Stegostoma tigrinum: one gene and its partner. The protein of the gene in region 2 purifies or fractionates together with the protein of the main gene of each other region. This does not show direct contact. Links are inferred from orthologs where the notes say so. Each region holds a gene or a part of one and is shown on either strand. Other genes may lie near its edges.

Region 1 (16,085 bases), on a different chromosome or scaffold from region 2:
TACGAGAGAAAAGCACAGACTTCGCTCAGGTTCAGTTCACCAGTCTATTTGACTGGAGTGTCAGATGGGACTCCCATTTCATTAAGGGAGTAAATTTTTTTGTTTAAGTGGAACAGTCAGGAGGGTATGCACATTCTGTCACCCTCAGAAGGAGTCCATGACAAAAGTTAGCAGTAGCTTGGAGAACTATGAAAAATAGGTTTATAGTATAGGCAGAATATTGCAGAACTTAGGTCCACCCTCCCATGCTTTTTCACCTGAATGTTTCTGGCCCATAGCTTTAATTCAAAATTCTCACCCACGTGATCAAATCCCTTGGCAGTCTCCCTTATTGCCCCTCTTCTCACATCTCTGATGTCCTCTGCTCATACACGATCCCAGTGTTCTGGGATTTCTGACCTCTCATTTCTTTCGCAACAATATTGGTTGTGCCTTCAGCTGCCAGGCCACAAGCTCTGCAATTTCTTTCCTCAACAGTTCTTCGCCTTTCTCTCCTCTTAGGACATTGCTTAAAACATACCTTCAAAAGCAAACATTTGGCCAGCTATCCCAATATCTCATGTGTCTCAGTGTTAACAAATGCCGAACATTACTCCTGTGGAATGCCAGGGGATATTTTACTATAATCAAAAAAAGTGTCATTATAAAATGGCAACTTTCACTTTAATGTGACTGCACCAAACTTGGGCAGATACTTAAAGTTGAGATCAGAGGATGCAGGAGCGGAGGGAGCAAATTCCAGCTCATCGCTTAAGTAGCTGAAGGCACCATTGCCAACAGTCACTGGAATCTGCAGCAAATTTTAATCTTCTCCAATTAATATTCGGGTAAGAGACATGAAGATTTGAAATCAGTACAGCTACAGCTGGGACCACAGAAGAATTTCCAGATTTTTTTTTACTGGAATGAACACAAGACCAAAGTAAAGTAATTCAATGTGTAGTAATAATTGTTAACACAGAATGTTCCACATCCTCAACTACTTTTAGGAATAAGTAAACAGAATCATAGAAGCCCTACACAGTATGGAAAGAGGCCATTTGGTCTATCTAATCCACACTGACCCCCCAAAGAACATATCACCCAGCCCCAGACCCTTATCCCCACAACCCCATATTAACTATGGCTAATCCAACTCCTGGACACGAGTTCTGAGGAAGGGTCACTGGACCCAAAACGTTAACTGTTTTCTCCTCCACAGATGCTGCCAGATCTACTGAGCTTTTCCAGCAACTTTGTTTTTGTTCCTGGACACTAAAGGCAATTCAGCACAGCCAATCCACCTAACCTGCACATCTCTGGACTGTGGCAGGGGAAAGCAGAGCACTCAGAAGAAACCTAAGCAGACATGGGGAGAATGTGCAAACTTCACACAGTCACCTAGGAGTGGAATCAAGCTTGGAACCCTGGTGCTGAGAGGCAGCAGTGCTAGCCACTGAGCCACCATTAGTGAAATACGAATTTTGTTAGATTAAAATTTGAAAGAGACCAATTCAGTCCAAAATTGTTCCAAATTCCTTCGAGAACAAAAGGCGGTGTTACTTAAAATCTAAATTCTGAACAAATTGAGGAGATTAAAATTTTCTGCAGGTTTTAAAGATGCTCACGTCAAGACTGACATACATGTGGTTTCAGTCCAAATGTAATTTGGGTGGAAGGCAAAAACAAAAAACATTTATTGGAAGCGTAATGAATATTAAAACGGAACAACTAGTTATTGCCTGGAGCTTGGATGAAACAACATACTTTCACTGAGAAAATTTGGAAGGCAGGTGCTTATTTTTAACAAAACAATACAGAACAATTTAAATGAGACTGGATATGAGTACAATAAAACAGGTCCAGTAGTGAAGTCAATAGTGTTGGGAAAGGCACATAGCAACAGGATGCCATTCGGCCCTTTTGAATTAGCCCCAGCATTAATTTGGATATATACCACAATTTCAATCACCTATTTTATTTCTAGACCATTACTAACTAAAATCTTTCCAACTTATCTTTGAAAGCTCACGTTGTCCCAGTGTCCAAAGCTTCTGTAACTAGCAGGTTTACTCAAATCAGCACAAATCCAACAAAAGAAATAGAACTCTTTTAGGAGCACAACTTAACATTTCAATCCCAAACCTTCTCGCGTAAGTCAGGATTGATTGTCCCTTCTTTGAGAAAACTGACAATGGGAGACGTACGAAGGTTAGACTATAACCTTATCACTGTTAGCAATTCAAAACTGTTTTTTTTAAAATGTAGACATCTCCAATGCAGTTAAACTGGCAGACGTAAGTGTCTCAAAGAGCACTCAGGATCAAGGATTTACAAGATACATGCCATGTATGATGCACCAACATCCATGCTTACCCAAATCAAATTTAGGCCTTGACACAAAATAGCCTGGGTCTGGAATCAAAATTGCAATAAATCCTAGAAGCAGCATCACAGAAGCAAGCCATTAGCCCCATTTAGGTATTCATAATCCATACAAGCTTACTCCTATTCAAATTCCTCTTCTTTCCACAGTCCTATCTCCCTTCTCCCACACATATTAAGACTGCCTTTAAATACACTAGCGCTGTTTCAATCACTCCATATATGTTAAACTGTAAGGACTGTACTTGCCTCCATATCTTCACTAATTCCAAGTAAGGAACTAACTACATTTTCCAAAACATACCAGCTGTTGTACTGCAAACTGCATTACTTTGTAATGTGCATTTGAGCTAATCTTTAAGTTAGTGAGAACAAGCAAGAAGCAAGTGTTATAATTTTTCTTCCTTCCACGCCTCACTCCCTGGGGAGCAGAGGTGAGGAGGGAAGAAGGCAAAAGGTCATGGGAATTTCTCTCCTCACACTAAAGAATTTTAGGCCATGAATGGTTAGTTTTAGTTTTTAATACATGGACGCTCTCACTGATACATATTGCATGACCGATATGTGGAATAAAATCTGTCCCCACTCCCCCATGCTGCTCAATAATTTGACTCAAATCCAAAGTCCTTTGGCAAGGACCAGAGTGGAGTCAATAAGGAACACACTTTCAGCACAACAGCTCTGTGCCAGTGATTATACTCCATATAAATCCCTCCCACCCTAATTCATCTAATTTTGTCAACATCTCCTTTCATTCCCTTCCCTTCATGTACGTGCCTAGCTTCCTCTTTTAAAATGTGCCTTTGCTCTGTGCACCACCACTCCATGTGATGTGACAACAGGCTCCCCATCCTTCCTACTCAAGAAAAGTGCGTCCTGAATCCCTCACTGGATTTGTCAGCCAATCTCAAGTTTATGGGTCCCTCGTTGTGAATTACCTAGAAGTGGAAACATCTTCTCTCCACCTACCCTATTGAACTTACAACTTCAAAGACACCAGTTAGGGCACTACAGAAAATAATTCCAGTTTTAATTCAGCCACACACTATTAACCGTATTGAAAGCAGGTCTCCGCTGAAAGGGTCAAGATTAAATTCCCAACTACTGAGCCACAAGCAAGTGGGATGTTCACTCATACACAGTCAAGAGAGTTTAATCTTAAGCCCAAACGAAAAAGGTGCCACTGTACAAAGACGACCATTTTCCTTGCTGGAAAACTATCCTCATGTCACCACCTGGAAACCAATTAACTGGTCACTGGTCCTGCACTCAAGACATAGCTGTTTAGAGCATGGCAGTCACGTTTATTGATGCAACAAGCTGGGCTTCAGAATAATGGTCCATAAGACTGAGATGTGCACAAGGGTGTAAATACACTGAATTTGCAAGTCTCTTACCTTGCTGATGTGTTTACCTACAAAACGGTCGGGACTAGGTATCACAATTCAGGCACAATTGTACATTTTTTAAGAAGTCACTGTCAGAATAATGCCTTTCATGATCAGAAATCTTCAACTGAAAATTTGAAACCCCAATGTTTTTAGGCATTTTGGACGCAAATTGTAAAATTTAGAATACTACAAAGGTGTTGAATTCTCAGGAGCTTCATGGTGAACGTCTTATTGTTCATGCAATTTCCCTCCGACTCCCCCAAACACCCAATCCACTAAACCAACACAATTTATTACTTAGCATGGTCCATTCTGTCATCCACGTTTTCCTATAATCATCAGCTTGACATGCTCCAGCACTTGTTATCACCAAATGTTAAAGGACAAAATAATCTGGGTGCCTACGTACAGAAATCACAAAAAGAAAGCCAATGTGCAGGTATAGAAATTGCACAAAATTCTGCATAGAAAATTGGAATTTAGGGGTTAGGGAGTCATCCTCCAGTTGTATAGTACTAGTTCAGATCCCTTCTGTAGCACCGCATATAGCTTTGAGCACTACAACCCAGGAAGGACATACTGATCTTGGAAGGGCTAACACCAAACCTTAATGAGCTAGCGTGCACTTTATTCACAAGGTTAGAAGATTTGACATCTAATCTAGTAGAGATAAAAGAATTCTCTAGCACCTTCTCATTCAGAGCAAAGGTCACTGACCTAATCATTAGGTGGGACTCCATAACATTCACTAATATTATTCTAGATTACAGACTCCAGACAGTTACTCCCATCCCAGGTAAAACTAATCAGTCAACAATTGAAAGAACTGCAGTTGCTGTAAATCAAGAACTAAAACAGAAGTTGCTGGAAAAGCTCAGGAGGTCTGGCAGCATCGGTTGAGGAAGCATCACTGGACCCGAAATGTTAATGCTGGCTTTTTCCTTCACAGATGCTGCCAGACCTGCAGAGCCTTTTCTGTTTTTTTTGTCAACAAGCCCCTGACTCTCAATTTTAAGTAGTTCTTCTACATTCGGTATTGTGGTACAGTTAGTTTCCAAGATTTTTTGATAAAATAATACAAATCCTCCACTTTGTCAGTCCCAGTCATCAGCACTCTGGGATGCATACCAGTCAGGTTTAATAACTTTCTGTCCTTATTATAATCTGTGTAATTACACACTCAAGTCCCTCTTCAGTTCTATTCCCCACCCTTCCTTCAGCAGCGCTACTTTTACATTCCGCTAAAGCAGCAAGCTACTTCTGGAAATCAGCCATACTACTCTTTAACATAATATTTTGTTCTGTTGCTGGAACCTTTCCTTTGCACCTTGATCCACTGTCAGTTTCATCAAATTTGTAGCACAGAAACAGGTCTCGTTGCTTAATGAGTCTATTGTCCTCCAAAGTAAAACTCTTCCCACATTATCACATTTTACACATCCTTCTGTTACTTTCTCTTTCCCTTCCTGTAAGGGCTATACAGCTCAACCACTCACAAATGGGGGTGAGCTTTACATTCCCATTTGAAAAGATTTGGGTATATTTAAGCTTTATTTTATTTATCTTCTCTGTTAATATAGTCCCCACACTAGTTCACTGCTCAATCCCCTACTTTTCCTCCTATTAATCCACCTACAACACACCAAATTGATTTTTTTTAGGGAGTGGCAGTGGTGAGAGGTTGGGAATAGTACAGTATTCCAGCTAATGAAATGCTAACGATAATTTTACCCAGGAATCTGTATTGCAGACTCAGTTTTTCATTTCCAGCGATTTGGGATGAAGGAGTAGAGAGTTTTATACAGGGCCTGCAGACATACCATCCTCATTGTCCTCTCGTTCATCCAGCTCGATGCTCCACGATGCACTCCCAATATGGTAACAGATCCTTTGCAACTCTAACCAGACAGCCTGCCTGGGCGCCAGTTAAACTTTGCCTGTGACTGTAACAGTCTTTTCTGATGATAGCTCCCCGCCCCATTCATTAACCTGACTGAGGACCTGGGTCAACTTTCTCCCCCCTATTTGGGGGTTGAAGACCGCTGCTGACCGAAGTGAATTAGCCAGCATCAGCATTGCAGCTCCAAATATAAAACATCTTGGATGGAAGGATACCCAAATAAAAATAAAGGAATTTAAAAGCACATGCGGGTCATTCAATTAAAACTAAGACTATTATGCTCTATATTAGAGATTGAGCCAAAGTCCAGATACTTTGTTATAAAAGATGCTGCCAGACCCGCTGAGCTTTTCCAGCAATTTCTGTTTTTGCTTTGGTTATCAATATTCGCTATGTTCACGTTGTCCTCGGTAACTCTTACAGTTTGACCTAAGAATATTATGAATGCCCCCAAGGGGGGGTTCGGCATTTTCACTGATGGCAGGCTGTAAATTTTCCTACTACACTTTACAAAGACCCTTACCAAGTTCAGCCACGAAGCCTACCCCCAGGGCGGTCTAGAGACACATGGGAGGGCAGAGAGAGAGACACTGAAGTGAGAGAGATTAGGAGGGGTCCTGTAAAAGTTGCTCCATTGCAACTGCGAGTTTTGGGATTCCCAGCTGTTAGCAAGAACAGTCCAGACCCAGTCTCTCTCCCCGCCGGGGTGTAAATCACCCACATCCTTCCTGAACCCACCCCCCACCCCAGGCAGTCACCCAGTGGTGTCTCTTCCCCCACCTCTACAGGCCATGCACTCACCCTGCCGTCCAGTGCCTCGGTGTGCTGCCTCTCCTGGCCGCTCTCCTGCTCCTCACTCGGGCTGAGTTGATCGGGCTCCTGCGCCGAGACGCGGCCCCCCATCTCCCGGACTTTCAGGGACACGCTCACCCGCTCAGACAGAGAGATCCTGGCTCGGCCTGTGGGCACAGTCCCGCAATCAGCTCGCCAAACCACTCAGCATTCACCATCCGAGCCCCCTCCCCACCAACAGCCCCCTCTCCCCTGGGGTCAGGCTAGAGAATGTCCCTCTCCCCCCCCCCCCCGCCACCGGGGTCAGAATGGCCACTGTTCCCCTCCTCTCTCCCCTGGGGTCGAGCTGGACACTGTCCCTCTCTTTCCCCCCCGGGGTCAGACTGGTCACTGTTCCCTCTCCCCCTGGAGTCGGGCTGGTCACTGTTGCCCCTCCTCTCTCCCCTGGGGTCGGGCTGGTCACTGTTGCCCCTCCTCTCTCTCCCCTGGGGTCGGGCTGGTCACTGTCCCTCTCCCCCCTGGGGTCAGGCTAGACCCTGGTTCCTTCCTGAGTCAGATTACTCCGGGTGGTTCCTCTCTGCAGTCTCCTACCATGCGCCCCCCCACTCCCGTTACAGACTCAAACCTGTAAACTGCGTTCTACTGCTTTCCTCGATCTCCTGCTTTCTTCTCCGTGATCCAAATCTTATTCTGAGCCAATAGAAAACGAGGCAGGGAGGGACCAGCTTCACGAAAGGAAGCAGCAGCCAACCGCATTCTACTCCCCCCACCTCGTACACAGACCCCTGACTGAGGAAGATGTGCTGAGACTGGCTGTGATTTACTGTCTGCTATTCGGATTCATATTAACCTTGTTGCAAAAGGACAGTTGTCAACCCGCACCGTTCTTACTACCTTCATCCGTACTGCCTTTCAACTGATTTAGTGACTGCGTCTAACACATGTAGCCGTTCATTGCGTAAATGAAGGCAGAAGCGCATGTCCAATGATAAAGATTTTGTAAGGAGTACGCAGAGAAACTGAGCAAAGAGAAAAAAGTCGGCACTTGTATGATGCCTTTCCAGACGACTTTAGTTCATCACAAAATGTTTCACAACAATAAAGTACTTTTAGTAGCATAATTAATTATTATTGTATGAATAGCAGCCCCCGCTTTGCACATTGCAAGATCCCGTAGTCAGCAACGTGGCTATGACCAAAGAAATCTGTTTTACTAATTTTGTTTGGGGCTAAGTGTTGAGGACTGGGGGAGAACCGCCCTGCTCTGGTTTAAAACAATGCTGACTGTGAAAGGCAGCCACACTGACAGTACAGGCACTTCCTCTGTCATTCCGAGATTCAAACTCAAACAGAGGAAAGCCATTTGCTGATTAGTTCTCAAATTCCGTGGTAATGTGAATTGTTCGATCCCTCAGTTTACCTAATCTGAAGGACAGAAGTACAGGTCAAACATTCAACTACTGTAAAGCAGGACTTTCAATAATGCCCAACGTTTTGCAAATTGTCAGCGACATGGCCCAGTGAAATTTTCATGGGATTACTAATTGAAGAGATTGCCATATACTTCAGACCCTCAGTTGATTCCATCCTGCCATCTGATGGGGATGGTGAGAAACTCTCCAAAGTTTTCCCTGTGTGAATTGGGAATATGATGTAGCAGATACTAGACTTGTCAGTTCCATGTGAAAGACTGCAAATTCAGTTCATTGACTCCAGGCATGCCTGTTATTTCTGTGGCCTGAAGGCATGTTTGTTTGTGTAGTATGTGTTGGGCTGCAGTTTCTCTTTCGTTGTCTGAAAAGGCTGTTCCTCAACTTCTGATCAAATTACTGTCGAACACTCCCAATCTTTGGCCACTCAGCATGGATCAGAAACTCCTGCTTTAGGCTTCCCCACCTGGCCAAAAGTGGCCATCAACAGGGTCTGAGTAGGAGACAACTGAGGGGATATTCAACCCAACTGCCTGCCTCTTTTACACAGCTACACCACAGCCAGATACCTTTGGAGAAGGAGTAGGAGGTGGTCACAGCAAGGGGAGTAACAATGCCTCTCTTAAGGCTAAGCATTCTTAGTAAGTCTTAAACTCTCTTAGTTGCCCACTATGACGTTTTGACATATTGTTGGCGCATAGTGCGTGTCGTGCCTCCCCGTTGGCCCCGCAAGTAAGCCCAACAGTCCTGGCTGTTGGGTGACCAAACGACCAGAAAAAGTACGAGACGGCCATGGTCTATACAGACCAACACTCAAAAAACCAGTATGAGTCTCCAGTTCCACTGGAGCAGTCCGGCTGGGAAGTGTCCCGGATAAACAACCTCCCCGCAGCATTGTCCACAACCGCGAGCTGCGATAAATCATTCGGTTATACATGTGTAACATCCGCAACAAGGTCCATCTCGGTCCAGATCGAGACAGCGACATTGAGACATTACCTCCTACCATACACGGAGCTGAGATCGGTCTGACAGGAGCTGGCTCACCCTGTATTGGATGACATAGATAACGTTGAAGAAGGCACCGTAAGGGCAGCCCACCCTGCTGTTGAGATAAGCATTACCACCAAACCTCCTACAACAAAAGTTATCGAGACATAAAGCTGGGCAGAGACAAAGACGATAACTGAGACTGGCGAGGAAACAGCTGATGCAACTGCCTTCATGGAAGAAGTTGTTATCGAGCCAGTATACGACATTAAGACTCATTCTGTCACTGACACTCGAACTCTTACAACTCTTCAGTGACAAGTGAGCAAAAACCGCAAACGGTGAGATAAGATCCTCCACCGAGACATAGTCCTTACAAATTTGCCAGTAACATCAGTAGGGCCCCGCTGATAATGACGATAACAACCAGCCTCATATAACACCAGTATCATCTGGTCCTTGGTCTGTGGTGATGCTAGAGAGTACACAACATCGACGAGTGATGTAAAGACTCGGAAAAGGCACTTCCCGGAGTGTTCCAAAATAGGCATGGGGAACTGGCATGCATCACCACCCTCATCTCCTGGGGAATATCATTTTAACCTGATGTGTTAACTCTCCTGTAATGCTATTACATTTCATTACAGTGCATCGGGATGCCCTTTTCAATGGCAGAAACTTAGATCTTTCTAATTAGTAATTCTCTGGTTGGATTGAAAAGAGATGGAAAACAGTTGAATAGATACTGTTATCTTCAACATTAGTTACAGAGCTAAAAACTCCTCCAGAAATGATAATATCAAAAATGAGCTTTGATTGTATTGACCAGTGAAACACAAAATCTTCCCTCAGGTACTTATGCTTAGTGCTGCAGTGAGAAGACATTAGATAATATTTGTGCTACCCAACGTTTTTGGTTTACCAGAAGCAAGGTAACAAATTTGTAGCAAGACCAGCATAAAATAAATTCTTTCCTGTTAAATGAACATCACTTTTTATGAGTAGCTTAACATGGCTTTTCAAAGTACAGTCTTTGATACTAACTTATAGAAATAGACATTTTCAAAGTTTGCTGTATGGTTTGGTTTACAAGCCCAACACAAGCTGGAGTTTGGATAAAGGTTGATTGCTATCTTAAAATTAGCTGCCTTCCTCCTAATTATCCCTCTTAATGTTCAAATTGATCCACATTCAGTATTTGTCTTCCCTAATTATTCACTGAATGTTCAAATGAGTTACGGACATTAGCTATCACTTTCCTAGTGATAGGAAAGGTCAAAACATAAAACTTCGAGGCATGCACTTAGTTTCCAGTCCAAAAGGCATCTATTTACTCCTACCCTTTGCTTTCCATCTTCAAGCCATCCCTTTAATCTTAAAAAAAAGTTTCTCATGTGGTATTTTATTTTCTGACAATTCAAATATACCAAATGGCGCTCCATTCCATTCAGGTCTCATTCAGCAACCTCCTCACAAAATTCATCTAGAATAAACAAGTATCACTTTTCTTTTCTGAACATGTATGTATCGGCTGTGCCTATGCTGTCCATGCATTTCAGGCATATTTTTATCATTCTTATTGATGGAATGAAATGATCAAATCTGTGGTTTTCTGTTTTGCCTTCTTACTGATTTTGGATCAGGCAGGTAACATTAGCTTTAACACTTTATTCTATTCAAAATTTATAATTCTTGTCTCAGAAGAATTTGGGAATCATGGTGAAGCTCTAGGTTTCACTTCATTATTCCAACAACACTTAGCTCTTGGTAAACTCCAAGTCTTGTCAATAATTTAAATCCTGTCTAGGCTTTTCAAATTCATCTAACACTTCTCCCTTGTGCTGCTGGACATGGAGCAATTAAAAGCTGGTATGATATGTGATCCATTTCATACGTCTAGCTTCCTGAGTCTCACAATGGAAACCTGTGCTTTCTCCCACGCTCTATTTAGACAATAATACTACAGTCAATCCTCTGAACAATGCTACAGTTAATCCATTGATTGTGACCACAGTCAAGCCCAAATACAACAATTGTAACCCTCAAAACACCACTATGGTTAATTGTCCTTTGAATTTTCCTTTTTCTTGTTCCGAATGCAATTAGTGTTCAACGTCCTGCTGTTGCATCATTATTTGTGTTGCAGTTAACCTGACCACATCACCTCCTCTGTCACATAGCTGCGAACGTTAATCTGAATATAGTTCGTATACGATGAAAGGGAGTGGAATTGTGTGAGTTGAGCATGTCCGAATCAGCGATCTCAATTTAATTACATCAGTTAGTTTTGATTTCTGAGTTTTGTGTGACCATGTTGCACAGGAGTTGATGTGCCTTCCCATACTGCAACTTCAATAATTGTTAAAGGGACCAATACATAGCTTGGAGCTCATACATTGAACAAGGATAGCATTTAGATTCAATGATGCACCATTGGAATTATCGCTGGGAGGAGAAGAAGCATACTTTCTCTCAGCATTGAGATAAAGAAAATTAGCTGTCACCAACAAGCTGTTTAGTGTGTTTCATCTCATTACTCCTCACACCCTCTCACCATTCTGCTGCACATAGCCTTCACATTCATCTCAGTTTATCACCTCCACCTACCCATCTATTGTCCACACTCACTCCTTCCCTTGTCCAATGTGATGCATGCTTCTTCTAGCCAAATTAATCAAAATTACTGAATCCAGTGGTTGAATATCCAACATTCAGTTACTCCCTAGACCATTTCTTCATTCTTGGTACAAGAGAACAAAAATGCAAAGGAGAGGGAAAAAACTGGGGGTGGCAGACATGAACAGTCAGGCTCACTGAGGCAGAGGAGGCCAACATGGTGACAGCTAGTATGTCTGCATCACACTCAGTCAGAGATGCAAAACCATCTAGACTCAAAAGGTTAGCTTGCTCTCTGTCCATGGATAGTGCCTGACTTGCTGTGATCTCCAGCATTTGTTGTTCACAGAACAGGTTCTACCATCTGCAGTAATTTTCTCCCATTTGGAGAGTCAGGGAGCTGGCAAATAGCTGGGGCCTGGATTGCAAATAACTCTGACATATTGATTTCATGTCATCAATGAACTATGAGAGTACTGAGAACAGTGATTGTCAACACTGTGACATTGCCGCCACTAAGTCACTTTTCCCTCGATTACCAGGACCTTCTTCATCTGTACAGCAAGTAACATAGGACATCCATGTGGACAGTTTCTTAGAGAATCTCATTCTTTCTGAAGGTGTACTGTCATGGGATGTCCCACCAGGCACCAGTGCTAAGCTTTGGTGGCAGCGACAGGCTGTCTGTCAGTGTTAGTTGAGATGTGGTAGAAGTAATTCTGCCTAGTTATGAGCACCGGGGGAATTTCAGAAAACTTGGCCAGATATTGACCAAATTGTGGAGGCGAATGAGGAGACAATAATGAATCGGCAGTATGGGGAACTGTGAGAATTTCTAACAGGCGGAGAAAGTAGCCTCCACCACAGAACTTCTAACCAGCCTTGCAAATGAGTCCATACAGGCTGAAACTGCAACCTTGTCGATTACTGGATCCCACTAAACTGCTACTTTAGTAAGAATGGTAGACACTTACAGAACATTGATCTTTACCAATCTGATTTGTAGGGGTAGCAGTGATAAGGCATTGGTCCAAAAGGGGCATGTAGGACATGAAACTGGGAACTCTAATCAAAGCTGACATGTATGCTCAGACAACTGGCCTCCTTTTGTGCTAAAGCATTCTACAACTCAGTAATATTCATCAAACCAACACCATTGCTGTATGTGAGATCTTGCTGTGTGAAAATTGATTGACATGATTCCGAAATTACAGCAGTGACAATGGTTCTAGAGGTAGTTCGCTATAAAGTACTATGGGATGTCCTGAGGTTAACCACAGTTCTTTGCTTGAAGATCCCTTTCCCCATTCACTTGCTGGAGCACTGTTTAATTTTCATTGCTACTAGTTCCTTGTTTAAAATTCCCAGGCTATTTTTAGCCAAAACTGGCAAGCAACCATTCAAATGTATTTTGTTTGATACAAGTGTTTCTTTTTGAGCCACAGCACTATAACTATTAACTCAAAGTTAACAAAAAAAACCTAACTTGAAGCCCATGTTAACATACTTTGGAGGACTGTGCAAAGTCTGGTAATAAGGATATATAAACATAAGTGAAGGCGCAAAAACATAAGGGGATGATTGCAAGCTAAGGTGACCTAACCAACAGTACAGACTAACAGACTGGGGTTCCTTTTGTCAAAAGAAAAATTTTGGAGGTGACCTGATAGACTTTTTTAAATTATAAAGGGATTGAATGGAACAGATATTTCTACTTGCGTGCAAAACTAAACCTTGGAGCCACAAGTAGAAGATACTCATTGATAAATTCAGTAGAAAATACAGGAGAAAGTTCTTCATGGAATAGAGTGATCGAATGATCTGCTATTACACTAAGAGAAATAGCACTGATACATCTCGCAGGATGCCAGACAAGTGTTCAAGAGAGAAAACAACAGAAGGACATGTCAATAGAGTTAGATGAAGAAAGGTGTGGAGCTGCTAATGTGGAGCAGAGATAATTCGTACATATTGTACATTCTACTCAACCTTTGCTGGAGTTCTTCCTCTGTATGGTGCAGTTTTCTATAACTTGCCAAGCCACAGAAGCTGCTGACTAGAATTTTAATTATTAAAATGCAGAATGCATATTCTACTAATATTGTCTCACTTAGGAGGAAGGAGACACAGCTCTGATTTAAGTGCATGTTTGGAATATGCTGAGATCAGGCAGTGGATTTATTCTGCTTTAGCTTTGCAAAGATTCCATTTCACTGAAGTATTGGGATGTGGTGTTTAAAAGCACTTAGGTGTTGCTTTTCTCTTCAAATGTCCTGCTTTTGTTACATAGGCCTTCATGTTTCTTTACCTTTCATTTTTCTTTCTTTCCCTTTCAATCCCTACGCTCTTGTTAAATATTTCCAGGAAATCAGTTGTAGACTATACCATACTCACCATTCATCAATTTTACATTGACTGAAGTGAGCATGATCAATGTCTTGCCATCAAGTATTAAACAGAATGTCAAGCAGTCTTCATGTTAATGCTCTTATTCCCCAACCCCAACTTGTGCACATGACGTGTGAAAAGATAGTCAGAAAGGGTGGAGACAAAGAAAAAAGAGGAATAAGAAGTAAAAATGAAATTAAGAAAAGACCAACATGGAATGTGATAGAATTTCTTTGTGAGAAATGCATGCAGTGGGTTCAGTTCACTGAATTTGATGGAAATCAGAAAAAATGCTGAGCTCATTCAATGATAACAGCATCTTCTCCCCTCCACACGTAACCTGGACATTAATGCTGTCCTCCAGAACCTTAAGAATCTCACTTCGGATTTGAACAGTCTCCCCCTAGACACTAACAATCTCCCTCTGAACATTAACAAACAGCATATGGATATCAATGCTGTCCACCTTGTCATTAACCATCTTGCCTTGAACATTTAACATGCATTTAGTAGCAGGAAGAATGATCACCATCTTCGAAGAGATCATCATCTGCTCAGATCGGTGCTAATTGATTTGTTGCTGTTGAGTTCGCTTTGGTGGTTTATACTGCCATTTGAAGTTGCCGAAGTCTATAGTGAGGTTGTGGGCACATGATGAAGGCCTTGGTTCTGATCTCAAATGTTCTGATCTCAGGGCACATACTCCAAGTCATGAGTGCTGAAGAGTTCAATAACCATGGCCTGCAGGTTGACACAGGCTAGGAAGAGGCAGCACAGAGAAGGACAAGCTGCTTGAAGACAGAGGATGAGAGTGAAGGCCTTCAAGAAACAAGGGTCTAAATTCAACCTCAGCCAGGAACAGTTGGTGGAATCTTCCTGGCTTCTGAGCAATGGGGGCATTAGCTGGGACGTTGGGAAAAAAATAAAGTGATTCCAGCAGAGATTAGATGTTCACAGCCCTGCTTTTTGCACTTTGTCCCCTCAGCCAGAGCTAAAAGGCTCTCAGGAATAAAAACAGAAGTTGCTGGAAAAGCTCAGCAGGTCTGGCAGCATCTGTGAGGAAAAATATCAGAGTTAACGTTCCGGGTCTGGTGAGCCTTCCTCAGAACTGAGGAATGTTAACTCTGACATTTTTCTTCACAGATGCTGCCAGACCTGCTGAGCTTTTCCAGCAACTTCTGTTTTCATTCCTGATTTACAGCATCTGCAGCTCTTTTGGTTTTCAAAAGGCTCTCAGTCATTCTATTTTACTTTGCTGTTCAGAGCAGGCATAAAGCAAAGTACATTGTCATGATTGTTAGCAGTGGTTAGTCAAAGGGTTGGGATATGTTGCTGCATTAATCACACACCTATACCATGTGCTATCTGCCTACATTGCAAACCCACTCTTTGTCTTCAACCAAATGGCCATGTCTTAAACTGTTTGGGGTGAAGAGTCCAGCAAAGGAGGCAGCCATCAGTCAAAGGAACTGGACATAGTAAGGGAAGGGCAGCATCTGCAAATGAGTTCAGTTGCTTGGGCATAGCCTATTGGCCACTTGGGAGGGTCAGGGCCAAGGACTCTATTTCATGGCACTCCATGGATTGGGGGCCATGGTCACTCCTGATAGTCCAGTGCAACCTGTCAGTGTCATCACAGTCAGTCAGGGAGCTATATGGTGATTGTCCCAGGTCCAGTCATTCATTAGTCAGGGCTGTTCTACCCTGTTCGATGAAGAGCGGGACTCACAGGATGTCTTGGGAGTCTGCTCACTGAAAGTCAAGGGAGGATTTATCAGGGAAGTTGGGGAGCTCAGTCCTGGTGATGGTAGCATGTTGGAATACGGAATGAGAAACTCAAAATATAGAGATGATAAAGGATGGGATGGATGTGCAATTGGGGAGTGGGGCGGACAAAGCATGAAGTTATCCGTGGGGTGGCAATGTTTGACATGGTAATGTGATAAGACTGGGGAGGGAGGGGCCACCTGGATTGAGAAGCTGAGTCTGTGATTCACATGGTGAAATGCATCATTGTTTCCTTCCACCCTCATCCAAATAGCATAATGAAGATAAAAATGGCTGTCACCACAGCAGGACTGGACAGTCCTCCACTTTTTGTGATATGAGATGGCATGGTGGCTCAGTGGTTAGTACTGCTGTCTCATAGCACCAGGGACTCGGGTTTGATTCTACCTTCAGGCGACTGCCTGTGTGGAATTTGTACATTCTCCC
Region 2 (14,911 bases):
TGATCTCAGAATAGTGATATTCATGACTGATGACCATTAACCATCAGTAGAAGGTGACCTCCACATCACAGGAGCTGTTTGAGTGTAAATTTACTAAAAAAAAACAGAAGCTTTTAAAATCAAAGTTACTAATGCTCTGATGTTCTTTCCCTTTTGAGGTACTGACTACATTCTATGATACAGTTTCATGGACATCAAGAACTCACTAGTTCAACCAATCGAATGTTCTTCATGTATGGAGTCATATAATGAGTGCCAGCATTATATTTATCTGGAAGGGACATCAAAACAGTTCCTGTTTCAATTCTAATCATACATAGTTTAAGAAATCATCTTTCTGATTTTTCTTATACCTAAATTATGTTCACTGAAGTCAAAATATTGGTAGATTTGTAAATGTAGGGTAAGAAAATGATTTCTTGCTGACTAAAGGAGGTTTGCAGCTTGGAGGAAATTTTGCTCAGCATTAATCTTCATTTAAATGAGTGTTATATTCAGCCTGAGCTATGGAAGGGATGGTTGTGTCAGTTGGCTGGATGGCTGCCTTACAATGTGGAATGATGCCACAGCGTGAATTCAATTCCTCCACCAGCTGAAATTATAATGGAGCACTCTCCTTTTCTTCCTCTTCCTTCGCTTGAGGTGCAGTGACTTTCGGGTTAAAGTCACCCGTAGTTACCCCTCACTAATGAGATAGCAAGGTTATGGTGACTTTTACTAAAGGTGCAAACATTAAAAGCCAAGTATTTTATCGGCTTAATTTTATTCTTCAGTATACTGTCACACATTGTAGGAGTTTCATAGTCACTTGGAAGGCCACATGAGCTAACAAATGACCTATGTCATCCTCTGCCATCCTTGTGATTATCTAAAATTGTTTTCATCCAAGCTGAACCACAGCTGAACATTCTGGGACTGCAAAATACGACTTAGAATCTCTTAGAATATTTCAGTTTAGGAGTGAATTTGCTCTATTTTCTCTGAGAAAATTTGCATGAGTGACTTAAATTAGTTTGTGCTGCACTTGTAACTTTTCTAAATGAATGTAGACTTACATTCAAATTTTTAGCAGGACACAACTTCAGACAATTGTAGCAATCTATGAGTGATTACTTTGAATTTTCTGTATTCTGGGGTGTGTGTTGTATTCTCTGCAACTTTGAATCTTTTATAGCATTAGAATCTTTAGTTTTTAAGATAAAATCTTCCACAATCACATTTGCTAAAAAACATACTGTGTTTATTGTGCATAAATGATAGTTTGATGGCTTCAACTTTAATTTTCATAAAAATCAATAAGGACCTCAGGAATCATAAATTATGCTCTGGGACTTCCTTGGGCCCTGATTATTTGTACTTGATTTCCATTGTTTATTTTGCACATTTTGCACCCTGAAAATGAGTTCTCTGGATATTGCAGTGTAAATTACCATCAGAAAGGTTGACATAAAAAATGGAATAAAGTCAGATTGAAGACATTGTAGCCTACTACATCACAGGGGTAACTCTGTGTCATAATGCTCAATTTGCCCAATCTTGATTACATCATGTGGGGAAGCACATCGAAGCTAGAATTATTAGCCAGCAAGAGTTATCCCAAATTGCTTTTGCAAGTTTGTAGTACAGTAACTAATTAGATAAGTCACTTGGTAATTTGATGAAAGACACTTGGTTCCAGTCATCTTCCCATCAGGAGATGGGAGAGAAAGACTGAGTTGCTGGAAAAGTTCAGCATATATGGCAAGATCTGCACAGAGAAAGCAGAGCTCATGTTTCAGGCCCATTGACCTTTCCCCAGGATTGATAGTAGCTAGGAAGATTTTTTTTGCAGAAGGTAGAGTTGGTGGGGAGTGAGGGATAAGGAGAAAGCGAAGGTGGATATAGAGTCCCCATTAGTAGACATTAATTCTCCTGGGCTAATGGTTATCCGCTCCTTTATATGTCCAACTGTTCTTCTCTCTGCTTGGATTCTATCTCCACCTACTCCCTCCCCCATCCTATCTTTTGCATAGAAACTAACTTTTTCCTAGTTAGCATCAGTTCTGAGGAAGGGCCGCCAGACCCGAAACATTAACTCTAATTTCTCTCCACAGACGCTACCAGACCTGCTGAGCTTTTCCAGCAATTTCTGTTTTTGTTTCTGACTTCCAGCGTGTTCTTTCCATTTTTATTTAATAGATTGGAAATAACAACAAACCTTCTGTTTTTGTGTGATGCACATTGATGGAATTTTTAAGACAAATTTACATTTTCAATATTTGCTGCAAGAACACTTTGAAGCCCTTAATTCTCTTCCTTTCAATCTTGAAGTTGCTGGTTTATTGGTAGAGTGTATTTCCAGATGCACAAGGTTCCCCTAGTATCTTACCCTAATCATTAACTTCACTCATGAGCTGGAAGAATGGCCATGATCTTGTGGAATTGCAAAGCAGGCTCCGAGATGAAATTGCCTACTTCAATTCCAACTTCTTATGTACTTTGTTTGATTTTGGATAATGAAGGGATAGCATTCAAATTTTGAAGTGAAAATGGACTTAATTGGAAAGTAAAATTGATCAGGGTGTGTAAAGAGTGGTTGATATGCTACCATCCATTTTACAGCCCAGCCAAAATAGGATTTCACACCCCTTTCCATTCCAGCTCAAATTTTCTATTCTTGTGCTAATCAACTGCGTGGGTATCACACCAACATATAACTCTGCGATAATAAAATGTGAGGCTGGATGAACACAGCAGGCCAAGCAGCATCTCAGGAGCACAAAAGCTGACGTTTCGGGCCTAGACCCTTCATCAGAGAGGGGGATGGGGAGAGGGAACTGGAATAAATAGGGAGAGAGGGGGAGGCGGACCGAAGATGGAGAGTAAAGAAGATAGGTGGAGAGAGTATAAGTGGGGAGGTAGGGAGGGGATAGGTCAGTCCAGGGAAGACGGACAGGTCAAGGAGGTGGGATGAGGTTAGTAGGTAGATGGGGGTGCGGCTTGGGGTGGGAGGAAGGGATGGGTGAGAGGAAGAACAGGTTAGGGAGGCAGAGACAGGTTGGACTGGTTTTGGGATGCAGTGGGTGGGGGGGGAAGAGCTGGGCTGATTGTGTGGTGCAGTGGGGGGAGGGGACGAACTGGGCTGGTTTAGGGATGCGGTGGGGGAAGGGGAGATTTTGAAACTGGTGAAGTCCACATTGATACCATTTGGCTGCAGGGTTCCCAGGCGGAATATGAGTTGCTGTTCCTGCAACCTTCGGGTGGCATCATTGTGGCAGTGCAGGAGGCCCATGATGGACATGTCATCTAAAGAATGGGAGGGGGAGTGGAAATGGTTTGCGACTGGGAGGTGCAGTTGTTTGTTGCGAACTGAGCGGAGGTGTTCTGCAAAGTGGTCTCCAAGCCTCCGCTTGGTTTCCCCAATGTAGAGGTAGCCACACCGGGTACAGTGGATGCAGTATACCACATTGGCAGATGTGCAGGTGAGCCTCTGCTTAATGTGGAATGTCATCTTGGGGCCTGGGATAGGGGTGAGGGAAGAGGTGTGGGGGCAAGTGTAGCATTTCCTGCGGTTGCAGGGGAAGGTGCCGGGTGTGGTGGGGTTGGAGGGCAGTGTGGAGCGAACAAGGGAGTCACGGAGATAGTGGTCTCTCCGGAAAGCAGACAGGGGTGGGGATGGAAAAATATCTTGGGTGGTCGGGTCGGATTGTAAATGGTGGAAGTGTCGGAGGATGATGCGTTGTGCACTCAGTTGACACTCACTATCTTATAGATTTTTGTATTGGTGAAAATATATCAACAAAAAAAGTACAGTAAAACTTTTACCTAGAAATCTTTAGAATCTCACACATTCTTCTATTCAATTTACAATGTATCTATTCAGTTTTCTGTAATATTTCTCATTGTATACAGCAAGTGTGTCCAAAATGTCTACAGAACCACTATTATTATATTCATGCTTATGACAGTGAGGTTTCACTCATACAGTAGTAGAATAGGCATTACCTGCTGATTTTATTTTCAATTTTTGTTATGATGTAAGTCCATTAAGCTACTCAGATGAAAAGAATCACAGCAGTCAGTCATTTTATAATTAAAAATCAGTACAATTGAGCACCCTAATACTAAAAAACAAGGTGCAAACTTGTCCAAAAGAGACTACTAATGTTCAGCGACCATTCTGCTTCAATTAATTTTCTAATTAATAATTTATTTTGAAGTTTCAATGGTAAAGCAAATGAAAGTGGAACAATTTTTGCTCAGTGACTTCTATTTTATCTTCTGAATATCGACAATGATGTTATATTTTTTGCATTAATAATTTGAAATTTTGTGATCTCTAGGTTATACACGGATCCCAAGTCAAAAGAACTGTTCCTCCTCGAATCGGCATTCTTTTGGGAGGCCCCAAAGTAGAGGCCTGGTGTCTAGACATTGCTGTGAAAGAACATTGAAGCTGGAGATTGACCATGTTGTGGAGAGCTGTTTAGTTGGCATAAGCTCACACAGATGACTGAGAATGATATCACGACTGTGAAGGTGCTTTAGGTTCCAGCAACTGGGAAGACAAGTTAAAATATCCACCTTCCCAATCATTTTATTAAAACGATTAGTGATGAAATTCCTTCTCATTGAGCTACTTTGTACTCTCTGCAGCTTTAACTGCCTCATTCAGGATACAAACAATATTTAATACCAAATAAAAATGTCTACGACTTAAAAGATCGAAACCATTATTTGAATCTTATGACATGCTACTTCCTACATTTGAGTCAGTTTTATCTGAGAACTCATTTTAAAGTGGCCTTGATCGAAATCACTACGACACGGCATTAGGGTGAGTAATTTTGAAATCTGCACTATCACGATTTATAATTGTAACTGCATGTAGGGATTGTTTAAAAGCAAAACCGTAAATCCGATCATTGAGATTAAAACATATATCGGGGCAAAAACGGATTGCTCCAACATTGGGACTGAACTGAACGCTCACAGTAAGTGGCTAAGAGAGGAAAAGCCAAATGAAACGGATTATGCTGCAAGGTTTTTTTTCACCTGCAACAAATCAGCTCCATGTAATTTTATGCTGCATTGAATCCCACAAGTCCCCCATCCATGTGACTATTACAATGGCTGGGCTCTGCAGTGAAGCTTGAGAGACTTAACAGGATATTACATCCAGTCAGGATCCTAGAGATAAAAACAACCAGCAGCGAATGAAAAAGACTACGAGTACTGTGTGGGTCCTGGCAGTATCACTGCAGGCCAATGCAGCGTCATAACAGTAAAATTTTTCCTACCTGCAGTGTGGCCTTCAGTCACAGACTCCTTCTCAGACATTGTGGTGAATCTAGTCAAAATCGGCAGTCTTTAAAACCTATTAATCATTAGGCTAGCAGAATCTTTAGCTCACAGTGCAGTCACTGCCATTGAAAACAAATATTACAATCTGTCTGTATCGCAGCTTGTCACCAAACTACTATAACAAGCTTTTGTCGTCCTTCCCTTCTCTCTCCCAAAGTCTTTTATACACACAGATTAGTAATAGTTCTAATCTTTGACCCCCCAACCCCACCCTAACTCTGCTCAAAAGGTTTCCTTGCCGAAATTAACCCAAACATAAAGAAAGAATGAACTGCTTGCACTCTTACTCCTCATGTTTCTGCAGAGCTCCTCCTCCCTAGTGCGTTCATACACAGTGTCAGCAGCATCAGCAGGGAAGGGCTTCCCATGCTGCAGTAAATGACCGAGCAACGGCAGCAGACTGCCAGCATGAATCACACAGCAAGAGAAACAATTAAAATCGCCCAGTAACTGCGCGAGATTGATCCGGTTATTTTAGATCCTCCAGATTTCATTATTTTGCACTGTACTTGTCAATCTTAACACTGTTCCCCGTGAAATGTACACGGCAATAGTTTTAAATCGAAGAGATTTTAATTGCAGAAATACACTGTAGCAAGACTCTTGGTTCTAATGTCCTCAAGTTAATAGTGCTATTAGTTTTGTATCTTAAATCCTGTGTATTATGCAAAAACTTTTAAAAATATATAGGAAACATTTTGAAGGAAAACAATGTTGTACACACAGCTGCTCTAAGTCCCTCTGATGTCTGGTTAAACGCTGCCATCCTTTCCTGATCCAGAATCATATATGATATATGCCATCTTCCAGTAGGTTTCACTTCCAAATCAGTTCTTGTGGCTTAAAATAATTAGGAAAAAAAACCCTCCACTTCTGGGGGTAACTCTTCGACATTTGGGCCCAGACCTCCGGGATCCAGGCAGTCGGAAAACGGGCGTACCTCAAAAGAAGCGCATCAGGACCTGTCAAAATCTGCCCACACTGAGGACACAGTAATTGCCCGGAAAGTTTTAAACTTGCGAAGGGCAATTACCGGATGACGGAAACCCTCTGAAGTAGTCCCCGTTCCGTATGGTCGAAGACTTGAGAGTCCCAACGTACCTTACCAACTAGCCAAGAAATGTTAGAACGTTAAAACCCGCCCTTAATCGTGCCTAACTGTACCAGTGAGCTCCAGCTCAATCACTCACAATGATTGTTCCACAATGATCACTCACACTGACCAGCACCCCAGTCGACCCAGCCGACCCCACATTGATACCAAACTCACAATCTCCTCATACACTACGATGCCCACCCATGGACTATAACCAGTCTCATTATCTCCAAACACCCAAATTGACCTCCTCCACCCCTCTGCCACCATACACTCATGCCTAATTCCAACACCTGACCCTTTGAACCCTCTCACCCTGCCATCTGTATCCCGTCACTGATCAGGAACCCAAACCATTCCATTTTGTCCCCTTATTCACATAGCACTACATTCCCTCACTCTCACCTTCTCTCAGTAGCTGTCAAAGTGGCTTTGGGGCTTTTAAACACTTTACTAAAAAAACAGCTATTTTCATAAACAAAGGGTATGGTTTCATCAACAATCATGTCACACAAATGCGAGGCAATGAATATCACCAATAAGACAGTATCTAACCATCACTCCTTGACATTAAATGGCACTACCTTCACTGAATTCCCCACTGTCAACATTCTGGGGGGTTACCAATGGACAGGACAGTGAAGAAGGTTGTCACAGAATACAATGGGACCTTAATCAGATGGATCGAAAAGTGACAGATGGAGTTTAATTTAAATAAATGAGTTATTGCATTTTTGTAATGCAATTGAAGGCAAGACCTATATGTTTGATACTAGGGTCCTGGCATGTGTTGCTGAAGAAACAGACTTTCGGGTGAAAGTTCATTGTTCTTTGAAGGTGAAGTCACAGAGTTTCTTAAGGTGGAGTCACAGGTAGACAGAGTAGTGAAGAAGGCAAAAACAGAAATTGCTGGAAAAGCTCAGCAGGTCTGGCAGCATCTGTGGAGAGAAATCACAGTTAATAGTTCAGGTCGAGTCACCCTTCCTCAATTCGGGATGTTTAGAAGGCTTTTGATATTGTCCCATACAGGAGAATAGTAAACAAAATTAAAGCACATAACACTGAGGATAGTTAACAAGCAAAAATCAGAGAGTCAGCATATGTCAGTCTGTGGCCAGTGGACTACCGTAAGGTTCAGTGCTTGGGCCCCAGCTGTTCACAATCTACAAGAATGATTTGGATCTGCTGGAAAATGTAATGTTTCCAAGTTTGTAGATAATGCAATACTTGGTGGTAATGTGAGTTGTGAGGAGGATGCCAAAAGTCTTCAGGGGTTTTAGACAGGAGTGAGTGGGCAAGAGCATGGTAATTGGAATATAATGTGAACCAGTGGGAGGTTATCCACTTTACTGGGATGAAGAAAGATGCAGAATATTTCTTAAATGGTGAGAAATTGGAAAGTGTCAATATCCAAATTTACCTAGGTGTCACCAGATTAAAAAAAAACTTAAATGAACTTGGATGCTGGAAATCTGAAACAAAAACAGAAGTTGCTGGGAAATCTCAACAGGTCTGGCAACTTCTGTAGGTCTCTACATTGGGGAAATGAAGCGTAGACAGGGTTAACAAAGTGTGAGGCTGGATGAACACAGCAGGCCAAGCAGCATCTTAGGAGCACAAAAGCTGACGTTTTGGGCCTAGACCCTTCAGAGAGGGGGTGAGGAGAGGGTTCTGAAATAAATAGGGTGGGAGGGGGAGGCGGACCAAAGATGGATAGAAGAGAAGATAGGTGAAGAGGAGAGTATTGGTGAGGAGGTAGGGAGGGGATGGGTCAGTTCTGGGAGGACGGACAGGTCAAGGAGGCGGGATGAGGTTAGGAGGTAGGAAATGGAGGTGCGGCTTGAGGTGGGAGGAGGGGATAGGTGAGAGGAAGAACAAGTTAGGGAAGCGGGGACGAGCTGGGCTGGTTTTGGGATGCAGTGGGGGAGGGGGAGATTTTGAAGCTTGTGAAGTCCATATTAATACCATTAGGCTGCAGGGTTCCCAAGCAGAATATGAGTTGCTGTTCCTGCAACCTTCAGGTGGCATCATTATGGCACTGCAGGACGCCCGGGATGGACATGTCGTCTAAGGAATGGGAGGGGGAATTAAAATGGCTCGCGACTGGGAGGTGCAGTTGTTTATTGCGAACCGAGCGGAGGTGTTCTGCAAAGCGGTCCCCAAGCCTCTGCTTGGTTTCACCAATGTAGAGGAAGCCACAATGGATACAGTGGATGAAGTATACCACATTGGCAGATGTGCAGGTGAACATCTGCTTGATATGGAAAGTCATCTTGGGGCCTGGGATGGGGGTGAGGAAGGAGGTGTGGGGTCAAGTGTAGCACTTCCTGCGGTTGCAGGGGAAGGTGCCAGGTGTGGTCGGGTTGGAGGGGAGTGTGGAGCGGACAAGGGAGTCGCGGAGAGAGTGGTCTCTCCGGAAGCCAGACAAGGGTGTAGATGGAAAAATGTCTTGGGTGATGGGGTCGCATTGTAGATGGCGGAAGTGTTGGAGGATGTTGCATTGTATCCGGAGGTTGGTGGGTGTTATGTGAGGACTAGGGAGATTGTCTTTGGGCGGTTGTTGTGGGGGCAGAGTGTGAGGGATGTGTTGTGGGAAATGTAGGAGATATGGTAGAGGGTGTTCTCGACCACTGCGGGGGGCAAGTTGCGGTTCGTGAAGAACGCGGACATCTGGGATGTGCGGGAGTGGAATGCCTCATCCTGGGAGCAGATGTAGCGGAGGCGAAGGAATTGGGAATAGGGGATGGAATTTTTGCAGGATGGTGGGTGGGAGGAGGTGTATTCTAGGTAGCTGTGGGAGTCGGTGGGCTTGTAATGGACATCAGTTTCTAGCTAGTTGCCTGAGATGGAGACTGAGAGGTCCAGGAAGGTGAGGGATGTGCTGGAGATGGCCCAGGTGAACTTGAGGGTGGGGTGGAAGGTGTTGGTGAAGTGGATGAACTGTTCGTGCTCCTCTTGGGAGCAAGAGGCGGCGCCGAAACAGTCATCAATGTAACGGAGGAAGATGTGGGGTTTGGGGCCAGTGTAGGTGCGGAAGAGGGACTGTTCCACGTAACCTACAAAGAGGCAGGCATAGCTTGGGCCCATGCAGGTACCCATGGCCACCCCCTTTGTCTGTAGGAAGTGGGACTGACATAGACAGGGTGACTGCTTTGCAGAATACCCATATTCTGTCCACAAAAAGACCTTGAGCTTCCAACCGCCTGCCACTTCAACATACTACCTTGTTCTCTGGCCAACATCTCTGTCTCAGGCTTGCTGCAGTGATCCAGCAATGCTCAGTGCAAAGTGAAAGAACAGCATCTCATTTTCTGCTTGGGAACTCAACAACCTCTGGACTCAATATCGAATTCAACAATTTTAGAGCTTGAGGCACCTTCTGCCATGACCTTACCCCAGCTTCCACACTCCAGGCCTTGTTATCACATAGCCTGCTATTATACACAACCCATTGTTAGTCCCTGATAGTTCCCGTTAACATCTATTTATTCTCTCAGGCTGACTGTTTTCAACTCCTTTGTCTGTCTAGCTGTTCTTCTCTCTCCTTGGGTTCTATCTCTGTCTATCATTTACTCATTACTCCCTCCCCTCACCCTATCTTCTGCATAAAAACCAACCTTTTCATAGCTACCATCAGGTCTGAACTAGGGTCACTGGATCCAAACTGTTAACGCTGATTTCTTACCATAGATGCTGCCAGACTTGCGGAGATTTTCCAACAATTTCTGTTTTTGTTGGTACTTAGGTGTTCTTGTTCATGAGTCACAGAAAATTAGCATTCAGGCGCAGTAAACAATTTAGAAGGCAATGGTGTGTAGACCTTTTTCGTAAGAAGATTTACATACAGGGTAAAGAAGTCCTGCTTCAATTGTATAAACCATCAGTGAATTTCATGCAGTTCTGATCCCAGAAGGATGTATTGTCATCGAAGAGTGCAACAGAGGTTCACCAAACCGATTCCTGAGATGGTGAGGGAAGATTGAAGGGACTTACCTCTGTTCTCTGGAGTTCAGAAATCTGAGAGGTTTGTAGAAACTTCCAAAAGTCTTTAAGTGATAGACAGAATCTGCCTGCTCACCAGTGCCCCTTTGAGTTACAAAGACCTGGGATGTTTCTTCCTCAACCAGCTACAAAGATATTTGAACAATATACTGACCAGATTGTGCTCCTGAGTCTAGTCCAGAAAGAGTATGCACTGAGGAGTAGGAATGTGAACTGGCAGAGGGTGCAGGTGAATGTCTTATTGGTACACTCTCTGAAGCATCAGTTACCTCCTGCTCAGGGGTACAGGTGGAGTTGAGAGCCGACAAAGTTCGTCAGTCCTTAACAGAGGTTCCCTGGTCCCCAAATAAGAAAAAAGAGAGAGTATTTGTTGGAAAAGATGTACAAAATAGTTTGTGCAGATTCAGAATGAGTTAATTCTAGTGGTAATGGGAGAGTGGTGAATCACAAAGAAGCTTACTAGGTTGGTTGCCTGTTATGTATCCCTGTTCCAACATGAGCAGTCCTATTCATTTTGAGTAGCAGTTTGTTCCCTCATACAGTTCATTCTCTTGTGCACACTGTTTGCAAGAACCTTGTACCTAATGGACAAGTGCAAGGGATGAGGCACTTCCAGTCCTACATCACTTGCAGTCTCATCCTTGTCCTTGACCATGAACAGTCTTTCATGCTTAATCTGTCTGTGGCTGCTTCCTGCAGCAATGTTCCCACATAACTTTTTCCACTGTTGCAATGCATTGTCCTACATGCTACAGCTGCAATACATTACCTGCACATTATATAATTAGGGCTGCAAGTTTTAAAGTATCATTCAATGATTATTTGTAGTCATATTGAGTAATGAATTTAATATAGCACATATATCTTTGGTTCTAGTTTAAGCTACAGCTTCCATTGGGACAAAAAGCTGTAAAACAATCAACCACCTACCTGTTCACCAAGACAACAATGCATGACGTTCTGTGGAAGGATCACCAGACCCTCGACGTTAACTCTGATGTTTTTCGTCACAGATACTGCCAGACTTGCTGAGTTTTTCCAGCAACCTCTGTTTTTGTTCCTGATTTACAGTATCCACAGTTCTTTTGGTTTTTGTTCAACAAATCTTAGTGACTGCAGTCTTACGTTTCACCTCTTGAACCACTCTTTATCTTAAAAACAGCAGAAGAGCAGCTACTTCCTCACTCAATAAATTTCTAAATTAGTTACTCCATAGATGGTGTATTCCATCAAACTGACTTGCATGCTCCTTACCCTCAGCTTTTGTTTGTAAAGTTAAGGAACTCTCTGCTCTTTAACATTCATATAAACTCGTGCTGCTACTTTCAAAGACTTATGTAGGTCTTGATGTTCCCTTTCTAATTGTACCATCTAATTACGTTGGGTCTCTTCATTCTTCCTTTTAAAATCCATCACTTCGCACCTCTCTGCACTAATTGGATTATACCCTGCTCAAGAAACAAAGAAATGAGCATCTATGCAGAGTGGTTTTTCCAACGCAAGAGCTACAAATTCATGAGAGATAAATTTGTTCAGAGGACTCAGAATCGTACAGCACAAAAGGAGGTCATTCAGACAGCCATGCTTTGTGATATTCCTCTCATCACATTTGGAAGAGATATCCAATTTAGTTCCATGTCAAAATTATCTCCCATCATTCTGAAAATATTAAATTTTAATTTCATCCATTTTTGTCATATTATTGGAGGTTAACAAAGACAGTTTTTAAAAAAAAAATTGACTGAAACTTAAGACAGCTGAAACTATTTTACACCCGTGAAGTCATTTTCACTCCATGGAGACACAAAATTGATGAAGATCCTGAAAAGATTTGATTTTCTTTTGTTTTGAATTGTTGGGCAAAATGGGAAAATAATAATGTTGTAAACTAAGGGCAGTGGAAGGAGTTGCTGCACTTGTAAAACTGATTGCTGGAACTTATCGCCCTGTAAAGTTAAGGAACTCTATGATCTTTAACATTCATATAAACTCGTGCTGCTATTTTCAAAGACTTGTGTGGGTCTTAATGTTCCCTGGCAGCACGGTGGCGTAGTAGTTAGCACTGCTGCCTCACAGTGCCAAGGACCCAGGTTTGATTCCAGCCTGGGGCAACTGTCTGTGTAGAGTTTGCAGATTTTCCCTGTGGTTTCCTCCCACAGTCCAAAGATGTGCAGGTTAGGTGGATTGACCATACTAATTTGCCCATAGTATTCAGGGAGGTTTAGATTAGGTGGGTTACAGGGGGATGGGTCTGGGTGAGATGCTCTGAGGTTTGGTGTGGACTTGTTGGGCCAAAGGACCTGTTTCCACACTGTAGGGATTCTATGAAAAAAAATTATCATGACCTGTGTTTACACTGTTGCTTTGTTCAAGCAGTGGGAGAAGGTGTCAAAAATATCATGGCACAGTGGATGTAATTGCAGAACTATCTTCGCCGAAAGACGGATTACTAATCAGGGTGTGCAATCAGGACAAGTTATGGGGCCAGGAGTCATCAGCATGACATCAACACTCTGATTGGTTCATGGACGGGCAAACAGATGTGTTATAAAGAAATGAGGAACAGAAGCTTCCAGATAACTGCAGAGGATGATCACTTTCTCTGTTTGTGTCTCTCCTTTTCTTCTCTTTGCAGTGAAGTAACCAATACCTGGAAAGTAACTTGGTATTCTTTCCCACCATTTTTTAGAAACTACTGCCTCTAACCAGTGACTGAAGAACTGAAAGGTGTGTCAACTGCCTTGTTGTCCTCAGCAGAGAACTGGGTAACATTCCCAAGCGGAATACGAGATGCTGTTTCTGCAGTCTTCGAGTGGCATCTTTGTGGCACTGCAGGAGGCCCAGGATAGACATGTCATCCAAGGAGTGGGAGGGGCAGTTGAAATGGTTTGGAACTGGGAGGTGCAGTTGTTTGTTGTGAACCAAACGTAGGTGCTCCACAAAGTAGTCCTTAAGCCTCCGCTTGGTTTCCCCAATGTAGAGAACGCCACAACGGGAACAGTGGATACAGTATACTGTATACAGTAAACTCCCCCTCCCACTCCTTGGACAGCATGTCCATCCTGTGCCTCCTGCATTTCCACACTGATGCCACCGGAAGGTTGCAGGAACAGCACCTCATATTTTGCTTGGAACCCTGCATCCCAATGGTATCAATGTGGACTTCACAAGCTTCAAAATCTCCCTGCCTCCGACCACATCCTAAAACCAGCCCAGCTCGTCTCTGCCTCCCTAACCATTCCTCCCACCTGAAGCCCCACCCCCATCTCCTATCCACCCGCCTCATCCCGCCTCCTTGACCTGTCCATCCTCCCTGGACCAACATATCTCCTTGCTAACTCCCCACCTACGTGCACCTTTACTGCTCCATCCCAGCCTCTTTGACCTATCTGTCTCCTCTCCACCTACCTTCTATCCGCCTCCTCCTCTCTCCCTATTTATTTCAGAATCCCCTTCCCCTTCCCCCATATCTGAAGAAGGGTCTCAACCCGAAAAGCCAGCTTTCCTGCTCCTCCGATGCTGCTTGGCCTGCTATGTACATCCAATTCTACACCTTGTTATCTCAGATTCTCCTGCATCTGCAGCTCCTGTTATCTCCATATTCCAATATATGCTGGTTCTTTGCTCACTCTCATAGCCTGTCCAAGTCCTTTTGCAGCCTCCATGCTTTCTCAAAACTTCCTGTCCCTCCACCTACATTTGTGTCATCTGCAAGCTTTGTAACAATGTCCTCAGTTCCTTTGTCCAAATCATTAAAGTATAATGTGAATGGCTGTGGTGCCAACACTGGCCCCTGCAAAACATCACTTGTCACCAGCTGCCATTCTGTAAAAGGCTCCTTTATGCCCAGTCTGTGCCTTCTGCTTGTTAGCCAATCCTCTATCCATGCCAGCATCATGCCTCTAACACCATGGGCTCTTGTTTTGTTTAGCAGGCTCCTGTGTGGCACTTCGTCAAAGGCTTTCTAGAAATCCAAACATATCACATCCATAAGCGAGAGATAATGGGAACTGCAGATGCTGGAGATTCCAAGATAATAAAATGTGGGGCTGGATGAACACAGCAGGCCAAGCAGCATCTCAGGAGCACAAAAGCTGACGTTTCGGGCCCAGACCCTTTCCTTTAGTTAACGTGCTTGTTACCTGATCAAATATTTCAAACAGATTTGTTAGGCATAACCTCCCCATGATATAGCAATGCTGACTCATCCCTGTATTTCCACATACTTCCAAATACTCTAATCTGATTCTTAATAATGAACACTAAAATCTTTCCAACAACTGAGGTCAGGCTAACCAGTCTATACATTAAAGTATTCTGCCTCCCTCACTTCTTAAACAGGGGTGTTACATTAGCCATTTTCCAGTGTTCCAGTATCCTCCTTGACTCAGTTGTTCCTGAAAGATCATCATTGATGCTTCCACAATCTCCTCAGAATGTTGGGGTACAGTTCATCTGGTCCATTTTATT

The links.
Region 1: the proteins of hspa12a (region 2) and A-kinase anchor protein 12-like purify together in Homo sapiens (affinity purification with mass spectrometry; 3 studies listed by BioGRID and IntAct, with this or other methods). This does not show direct contact. The link is inferred for Stegostoma tigrinum from reciprocal best matches to the Homo sapiens genes HSPA12A and AKAP12.

Annotation. Positions count from the first base shown.
Region 1 is NC_081362.1:16,982,952-16,999,036, forward strand, and holds the start of A-kinase anchor protein 12-like, read right to left. Parts: upstream 7,127-16,085; 5' UTR 7,073-7,126; intron 6,615-7,072; 5' UTR 6,559-6,614; coding exon 6,457-6,558; intron 1-6,456. UniProt on the Homo sapiens protein: Anchoring protein that mediates the subcellular compartmentation of protein kinase A (PKA) and protein kinase C (PKC).
Region 2 is NC_081373.1:20,484,170-20,499,080, reverse strand, and holds the start of hspa12a (heat shock 70 kDa protein 12A), read right to left. Parts: upstream 5,625-14,911; 5' UTR 5,320-5,624; coding exon 5,280-5,319; intron 1-5,279. UniProt on the Homo sapiens protein: Adapter protein for SORL1, but not SORT1. Delays SORL1 internalization and affects SORL1 subcellular localization.